Linked DNA regions of Yarrowia lipolytica. The protein of the gene in region 1 interacts with the protein of each later gene in a pairwise test. Links are inferred from orthologs where the notes say so. Each region holds a gene or a part of one and is shown on either strand. Other genes may lie near its edges. The genes, in order: YALI1_B06245g and YALI1_C25576g.

The links.
Region 2: the proteins of YALI1_B06245g (region 1) and YALI1_C25576g interact in binary tests that used the Saccharomyces cerevisiae proteins (3 or more experiments, as listed by UniProt). The link is inferred for Yarrowia lipolytica from reciprocal best matches to the Saccharomyces cerevisiae genes NAR1 and CIA1.

The regions. Positions count from the first base shown.
Region 1 is NC_090771.1:622,406-626,520, reverse strand, and holds YALI1_B06245g (uncharacterized protein), read left to right. Parts: upstream 1-1,949; coding exon 1,950-3,425; downstream 3,426-4,115. Other genes in the region: YALI1_B06264g (uncharacterized protein), read left to right, coding at 89-595. UniProt on the Saccharomyces cerevisiae protein: Essential component of a cytosolic Fe/S protein assembly machinery. Required for maturation of extramitochondrial Fe/S proteins. May play a role in the transfer of pre-assembled Fe/S clusters to target apoproteins.
Region 2 is NC_090772.1:2,556,033-2,559,387, reverse strand, and holds YALI1_C25576g (uncharacterized protein), read left to right. Parts: upstream 1-1,734; coding exon 1,735-2,733; downstream 2,734-3,355. Other genes in the region: YALI1_C25581g (uncharacterized protein), read right to left, coding at 1-1,215; YALI1_C25560g (uncharacterized protein), read left to right, coding at 3,292-3,355. UniProt on the Saccharomyces cerevisiae protein: Essential component of the cytosolic iron-sulfur (Fe/S) protein assembly machinery. Required for the maturation of extramitochondrial Fe/S proteins.

The DNA.
Region 1 (4,115 bases):
GGCGCGCGCAGTATCATCTATGTTTGCAAGGCATCCTACCATTGCGGTGGTCAGCTCTTTATTGTAGCCTGGTGTGTCCTGATCCTCAATGTCTTTCAACAGGCTGTATCTGGTCTGGTCTCTGTCCGCGAAAGGTGCGACTCCTCCAGTTTGGCAGTCTGCATGTCTGGAAGATCTGGCGGACATGTACCTCGACGGAATCATGCGGTATCACGAGGTAGCTCGTTCTGGGCGTGTCGGACAGAGACAAGCAATTCCCGGCGAAGCTATGGCAGACGTTGCAGGCACGCCTGGACACGGAGCTCGAGCTCTTCACGGTCAACCACCCCAGACAGTCAGAAAGAGCGAACACCTAGCTGATCCAAAGATGAAGCAGCACTTTGTCACAGACAGAACTGGGATCTCGGCCAACTGTACCTGTCATCGAGCTCGCGATGAACTCAGCAAATCTCTCGTCCACCGGATACCCACCATTCAAGGCCGTGTATGGAGACATTCCAGACGGATCAACGATGGATCGACTCGGGAGCTCACCAAGGGGCATCACCAGATGGATGCTTGCATGGACAGGCTACGGGCCATGAGAACAGGGTGAACCAGCATCGGGAGCCAGTCGCATTCCAGGTCAACCACCAGATGTTTTCAACATACAGTGGAAGGCGTTCTTCAACGGGCCAAGTACAGTATGTACAGTACATACAGTACATACGCCAGGATGACGTCTACTTTGCGATTGAGAAGATCGGCACCAACGTCTACAAGATGTTTTCTGCCTCCTAAAGTGGTGCCATGGGTTGGTTGGTTGGTTGGTTTTTTGTTGTTGTTTTTTTTTTTGTTGTTTTCAGCGTCTACAAAGATATTTTATGACTGAAAGTTGTGCCATAGCTGACGCTTTTTTTTGTAACAATTTTTTTGAAAGTTTCCCAACATCAAAAAAAACCGTTCCGCCGCACGTCATAAATTAAAAACCCATCGAGACAAAAAAACTCCCGAAAAAGCCGCCTTTAATCGAGCTAAAGTTCTGCATGAAAATTGATATATTGCGGAAAATGCGATATAGCGATATGTTGCGGAAAATGCGGTAAAAAGTAGAAATAATGAAATAATAATTACACCATAGAAAATGTCGCACCGAGAAAATCATTTTGATACCCAAAGATCCCAAAATAACCATACAGAACTTGCAGCATCACCACCTACTGTACTGTTGTTTTTGCCTTCTACATATTGAGATGCTGACGAATGTTGCAACTATCGGTGTGGTACCGTGCGTACTTGTGTTCATATATCTATCACTACTGTATTGTACCCCTTTATCATCACTAGTACTCGAACACAATCTCTTTTCCAATCTCTTCTCGTAGACAACTCACGGAGATACACATGGTCTTCACAGATGGCAGAGCTCGTTCGTCTAAATATGGCCGTCATGGTATCTACATCACGTCTCGAACTCCTCCATATTGGACTCTTTTGTTAATGACTGTAACTGCCGCATTCATCGACGCTTCGCTGAACATCTCAAGTCAGCTAGTTCCCTTTCTCTCCTCTCTAAGCAGCTGGTTCTCTTTCCTGCCAACGTTGCTACTTCTTTCTCCATATTTCTTTCTCCATATTTCTCTCTCCATATTTATTCATCTTTTTTCAGATTAGGTTGTGAGTCAGCGCGCTTCGGATGTCTTCAACAGGGAATATTTGTATGTATGGAGGGGTACTTTTTTGGGCTGATCCATAGCTCTGCTCTTCCCAACTACAAATAAATTTGAGCCAATCAAATCGGAGCATTTTTTGCCACTCCAGCAACTGGTGCGATATCGGCCATACGCCCGTGACACATTTCTTATTACTAACATCAAACCTAGATAACCGGGGTGCAGGAAAAAGAAGGATCCGAACTCCTACATCTTTCTCCACTTACACAACCGCCTACTCGTACACACACGCCCGTCATGTCTTCGATATTGTCAGCAGACGACCTAAACGACTTCATCTCGCCCGGAGCGGTGTGTATCAAGCCGATCAAGGTGGACAAGACAACTGAAAACGCTGAGATCGAAATCGGAGCCCAAGGACAGGCCCTGGAGGTGGGCATCGATGGGACACAAAAAGAGCTGGAGCCGGCGCAGCTGTCTCTAAGCGACTGCCTGGCATGCTCGGGCTGCATCACGTCGGCAGAGAGTGTTTTGGTGGCTCTTCAGAGCCATACCCAGCTACTCGATGAGCTCAAGAAGGAGGCAGAGCTACCCAGTGGCGAAAAACGCATTTTTGTGTGCTCGGTGAGCCACCAGGCCCGAGCAAGTTTTGCGGCGGCCTTTGGGGTGTCTGTGGAGGTGGCCGATGCCAAACTGCACTCTCTACTGTTGGACACTCTGGGGTTTGATTACGTGGTGGGCATGGGCGTGGGACGGGAGATTTCGTTGATCCACAGCGCCCAGGAGGTGGAGAAGTCGACACAGAAACCCGTCATGGCTGCATCGTGTCCCGGATGGGTCTGCTACGTCGAAAAAACCCATCCCCACGTCATTCCCTACCTCTCGAGTGTCAAATCTCCTCAGCAGATTTGTGGATCTCTACTCAAAAAGGTCATTTGTGACACGAGAAGAGTCAAGCCCAGCCAGGTGTATCACGTGAGTGTCATGCCGTGTTTCGACAAGAAGTTGGAGGCGTCGCGCGACGAGTTTTCTGTCGAAGAGGCCGGCCAGGAGGAAAAAATCAGAGACGTGGACTGTGTCATCACCACCAAGGAAGTGGTCCAACTGCTGACAGAGAAAGACATGAGTTTCGGTGGTCTTCCCGAGATTGACAAAAGCCGTCTCTACACTTCAGTGCCCGAAACCTGGCCTGCTGAGCGAGACTGGGCGAACCACGTTGGGTCGTCTTCAGGGGGATATTTGCATCATGTTCTGACGGCGTTGAGGCTGCGGCATGACCCCCTGGAAACTCGAACCCGTGTGGACGCGTCCATGGGCAAAAACCAGGACGTTATGGAGTACTCTGTCATTGACACGGAGACTGGAGAAACGGTGGCTTCTGCCGCTCAGGTCTACGGCTTCAGAAACATCCAGAACCTGGTTCGGAAGCTAAAGCCCAGCCGGGGTAAGGGCAAGGTTGTTTCGGCCAGAAAGAGCACAAAGACCGTTTCTGCTGCCCTCAACCCTTCCACTTACTCGTACATTGAGGTCATGGCTTGCCCTGGAGGATGTATCAATGGAGGAGGGCAAGTGGGAGCTCCCGAGGGAGTTGCTGCACGTGAATGGAAGGATGAGACAGAAAAAATGTACAACTCCATCCCCTCAGAGGCCGTCAGTGAAGAGGTGGTGGACTGGGCCACAAAGGTGTGGGGACCCCATGATGAAGACAAGCTGGTGACTGCGCATTATCAGGAGGTGGAGAAGGTTGACCAGGGTCTGGCCTCCACTTGGTAACGAGTGATTGAAAGGGTGTCACTAGTGGATAACATCTTTTTAAGACGAACATGAACATTCGACACTGACTTATTTATTCAATAAATCATATGATTGAGCCAACTTACGAGCATGAGGGAGTTACTGTATGTATTTATGGGTGTATGCTCAACTGTTTCTATATCACTTTTGCCACCACCATGCTGGTGGTATCAGATCGGAGTTGGGCATGAAGAAGTGGTGAGCTGAATTAGAGGGATCAGCAGCGACGAGATAACCCAGGAACTTGCTTGAGCGTGCTTCGCTTTGGAAAAGTTGACTCAAATGGAATCTCATCTAATATTAGCAGTTCAGAACATGAGAACGAGACAAGTACATACTGTACATACTGTACTGTACCTGTAGAAGGACATAAAAACCACCCAGTTATGGGTCGAATTTGCCATTTGCCATCTTCTGATCCAATTTGGAGCCACTATCGAGGAAATACACAAGACATGCTCTTCCTCCATTCTCATCGCCTCTCCGAGACATCTCCGAGACACTCTACGCAGTAGAACCAGCCAGCTGAAACAGTGCAGGATGACGATGCGCTGCAGAGTGGATCCAATGTTTGGGTGGGCTGTAGATGTCGTGAAGAAAAACCAAAAAAAAAGACCAATTTATGCATGAGACGTCCTTGATTGGTTTTCTCCAGTTCAACACCCACTT
Region 2 (3,355 bases), on another chromosome or scaffold:
GTTGGGCTTGATGTTCAAAGGAGCAGGTTGGGGAATGTCCTTACTCGAGATGAACTTGTTTTCCTTGTCCACGTACATGAAGAGTCGGATTCGACCGAGCTTTTGCAGAAAGTAGAGAAGACGTTCAAAGGGGACCTCATCACGGGTTCGCACAGAGTAGTGAATGTCGACGCAGCCTCGAGGAGGATTGGTAGACAAAAGGGCCTGCAAAACAGAGGCGATTCCGGTTCCTCCAGCAAAGAAGACCAGGTTGTCGGGTTTGGGAACGTCCAGGTACTTCCAGTCAGCCGGGATTCGACTGGGCATATCCTCCATGGGAGCTCTGGGAGGCTTAACGTCAGCAGGAATTTCCGGAATGACAGCATCAATAAATGGACCTCGAATGTCCACATCGGTGCCAATTGGCAGGGATTGGATCCACTTTGCGACTTCTCCGTTCTCGTACTTCTTGATGATCATGCAAAAGCCATTGTAGTCGGTATCCCAACTGATGATCTTGACCAAAGGATCCTTTCCATCAACATCCTGCATCATGTAAACGGGTAGAGGAGTGTAGGATCGTACAACCTGCACGTCAGGCTGTCTAATGTGAACAGAAAACATTCTGTGACCATCCCAGTACTCTGCATACTTGGGCTGGAGCATGGATCGTTCCGGTCCCTTAAATTCAATCAGCTCCACGTCGTCGCTGATCTTCATCTTCTTGACAATCTTGTACTTGACAAAGGCGTTGTTTGCCAGAGTAGTCTCTCCTCCCTCGTTACCTCCTCGTCCAGTAACCATGTAAGCACACCAAATGATCCACAGAATGACCGCGAGGGCAAACAGTTTGGGTCCATGGCCGTCTAGGGCCTTCCATTTCAGCATATGGGGCCGTCGCACGTCAGTTTTAGGCATCTCAAACGACTCTCGGACCCACTCTTTGGCGGGGACGTAGCCGTTTTTCTTCGCCAAAGCCTCGGCCTTGGGATCAGGGATGTGGGGGAGCTGATCAAACGTGGTGTCTTTCTTTACCATCTCGTTGGACTGCTCCTTGTCGTTTTCGGGCTTGTTTTCAGCATCCTTCTTGGGGTGGTCGTTGTGAGCATCTTTCTGGAACAGATGTCGTCCAGTTGTGAAGGGAGACACCGGCCGAAACAGAAGCTGGGGTCTTTGGATCGGCTTCAGTAGCACAGGCCGGCTGGCCCGGAGTCCAATTAGTCCTATGCGGAACATTTGTGTGAGTTGCGGAGTCTGTGGAGTTTTTCAGATGCTGCAGTTTCGTTTCTACCGTGCGTTGATTAAGTTTACCAAATGTGAACTTTAGAGGACAGAAGTTAGACGACGGTGATAAAACGGGAGTTCTAGAGGCTAGATATTTGACAAAGTCGTTGAAATTATGTGTTTATTCGGTAATTTCATAAAGCTCTTGTTGACTTCTTTTCATTTTTTCATATTTTTCCCCGATTTTTGACGCATTTACAGAATGTTGTTCAGCCTTTATTTCACTTTTTTCCCTGAACATGATACACCACTCCCTACGAAAGGCGACGAAGAAGTGCAAGAGAAAACGAAAATAGTTTCAAAATATATACCGCGGAAAATCCAGTTGAACCAATATTCAAACACCCTCCGATCTCAGGCTCTTGACGGTCTCGACTGTCCTCACTGCCAGGTCTCGACGCCATCAGTTTAACTTTCTAGTGCAAGCCTGCAGGCTATTACTCACTACCATCATCTTGACATCACCACCAAATGCAGCTGATCAAGGCACTGAAAGGACACACGGACCGGGCGTGGGCAGCGTCCGTCCACCCCAACCTGCCTCTTCTGGCCACGTGCTCGGGCGACAAAACTGTGCGAATCTACAACACAAACAACTGGGAGCTGGTGACGACCATCACCGAGGGCCACAACCGATCTGTGCGCTCAGTGGCCTGGAAGCCCAGCGGCTCGTCCCCGTCGCTGGCGCTCGGAAGCTTCGACTCCACAGTCAGCATCTGGGGCAAAGAGGACGACGAGTGGCAGTTTTTGGCGGCTATTGAGGGCCACGAAAACGAGGTCAAGGGAGTCAGCTGGTCATGTGACGGCCAGCTGCTCGCCACATGTTCCCGAGACAAGAGTATATGGGTGTGGGAGGCTGACGACATGAATGACGAGTTCGAGTGTATATCTGTGCTGCAGGACCACACTCAAGACGTGAAGCATGTCGCCTGGCACCCTTCAGAGATGGTGTTTGCCAGTGCCAGTTACGACGATACCGTGCGGCTATGGCGCGAGGACGACGACGATTGGATCTGTGTTGCCGACCTCGGAGGACATGAGTCCACTGTTTGGGGGTGTGCTTTTGAGCCCTCTGAGGGTTCTGATCTCAGACTAGTCAGCTGTTCGGACGACAAAACATGCATTGTGTGGAAAAAGGAGGGACAGGTTGGAGGTACAGGTGACCACTCCGGCATCCGACCTGCTTTCCGGGCTGATCCTCTCTCTGAGGAGTGGATTCAGCAGGCTACTCTGCCTGAAGCACACACTCGAGCCATCTACTCTGTTGCATGGAACAAGAACGGACGAATCGCCTCCACCGGTGCCGACGGTAAGCTTGTGGTCTACAAGGAGAACGGTCCTGGCCAGTGGGTGGTTGAGTCTGAGGTCGAGAACGCTCATGGTGTCTATGAAGTGAACGATGTCGTTTGGTTGGACGACAAGTTGGTTACTTCTGGCGATGACGGAGTTGTGAATATCTGGGAGGTTTGATCGGAATATATTTACATGGAGATGATTTCTGTTGTTTTTTCGTTCATTTTCTAGTTTTCTCCGATTTTTTTTCTGACTTTCTCAAAGCCGGTTGCAAATTTGTCTAAACACGGCATATCGAAGGAAGCACTCCCTACAAATCAAGTCTGGTTTTAACTTTTTAGTGCGAGTTCAACACGCAACAATAGAACACCTCATTTCAAAGGTTATTCTTTCACGGCAAAGTTATAATTAAATGAATGTATATGCAGAAAAAAAAAAACTAAGGGCGGGCTAGAACAGAAACCGTTGTGCGGCCAAAACACGGACATAGTCCGTTTTGTTCCATAGATTCACGTGACATGTAATGAAATGGCTTGGTTATTCAGTGTACAGTGCATTTATCACTCTTTTTGCGCGGTCTGCAATCTCCTTCGAATCTGAATCTCCTTCGAATCTAAATCTCCTACGTCATACACGTTTTAAGGTTACCAATAGTGCATAACCACACACATGTATCATCACCTCGACAACGAGACTTGACTATATAACACGACAACTTCCTACACAGCAACCAGCATGAGCCAAAGACCGACGGGGCTTAAGATCGACATGCCGGAGTCATTTTCCGACCAGATGGCCA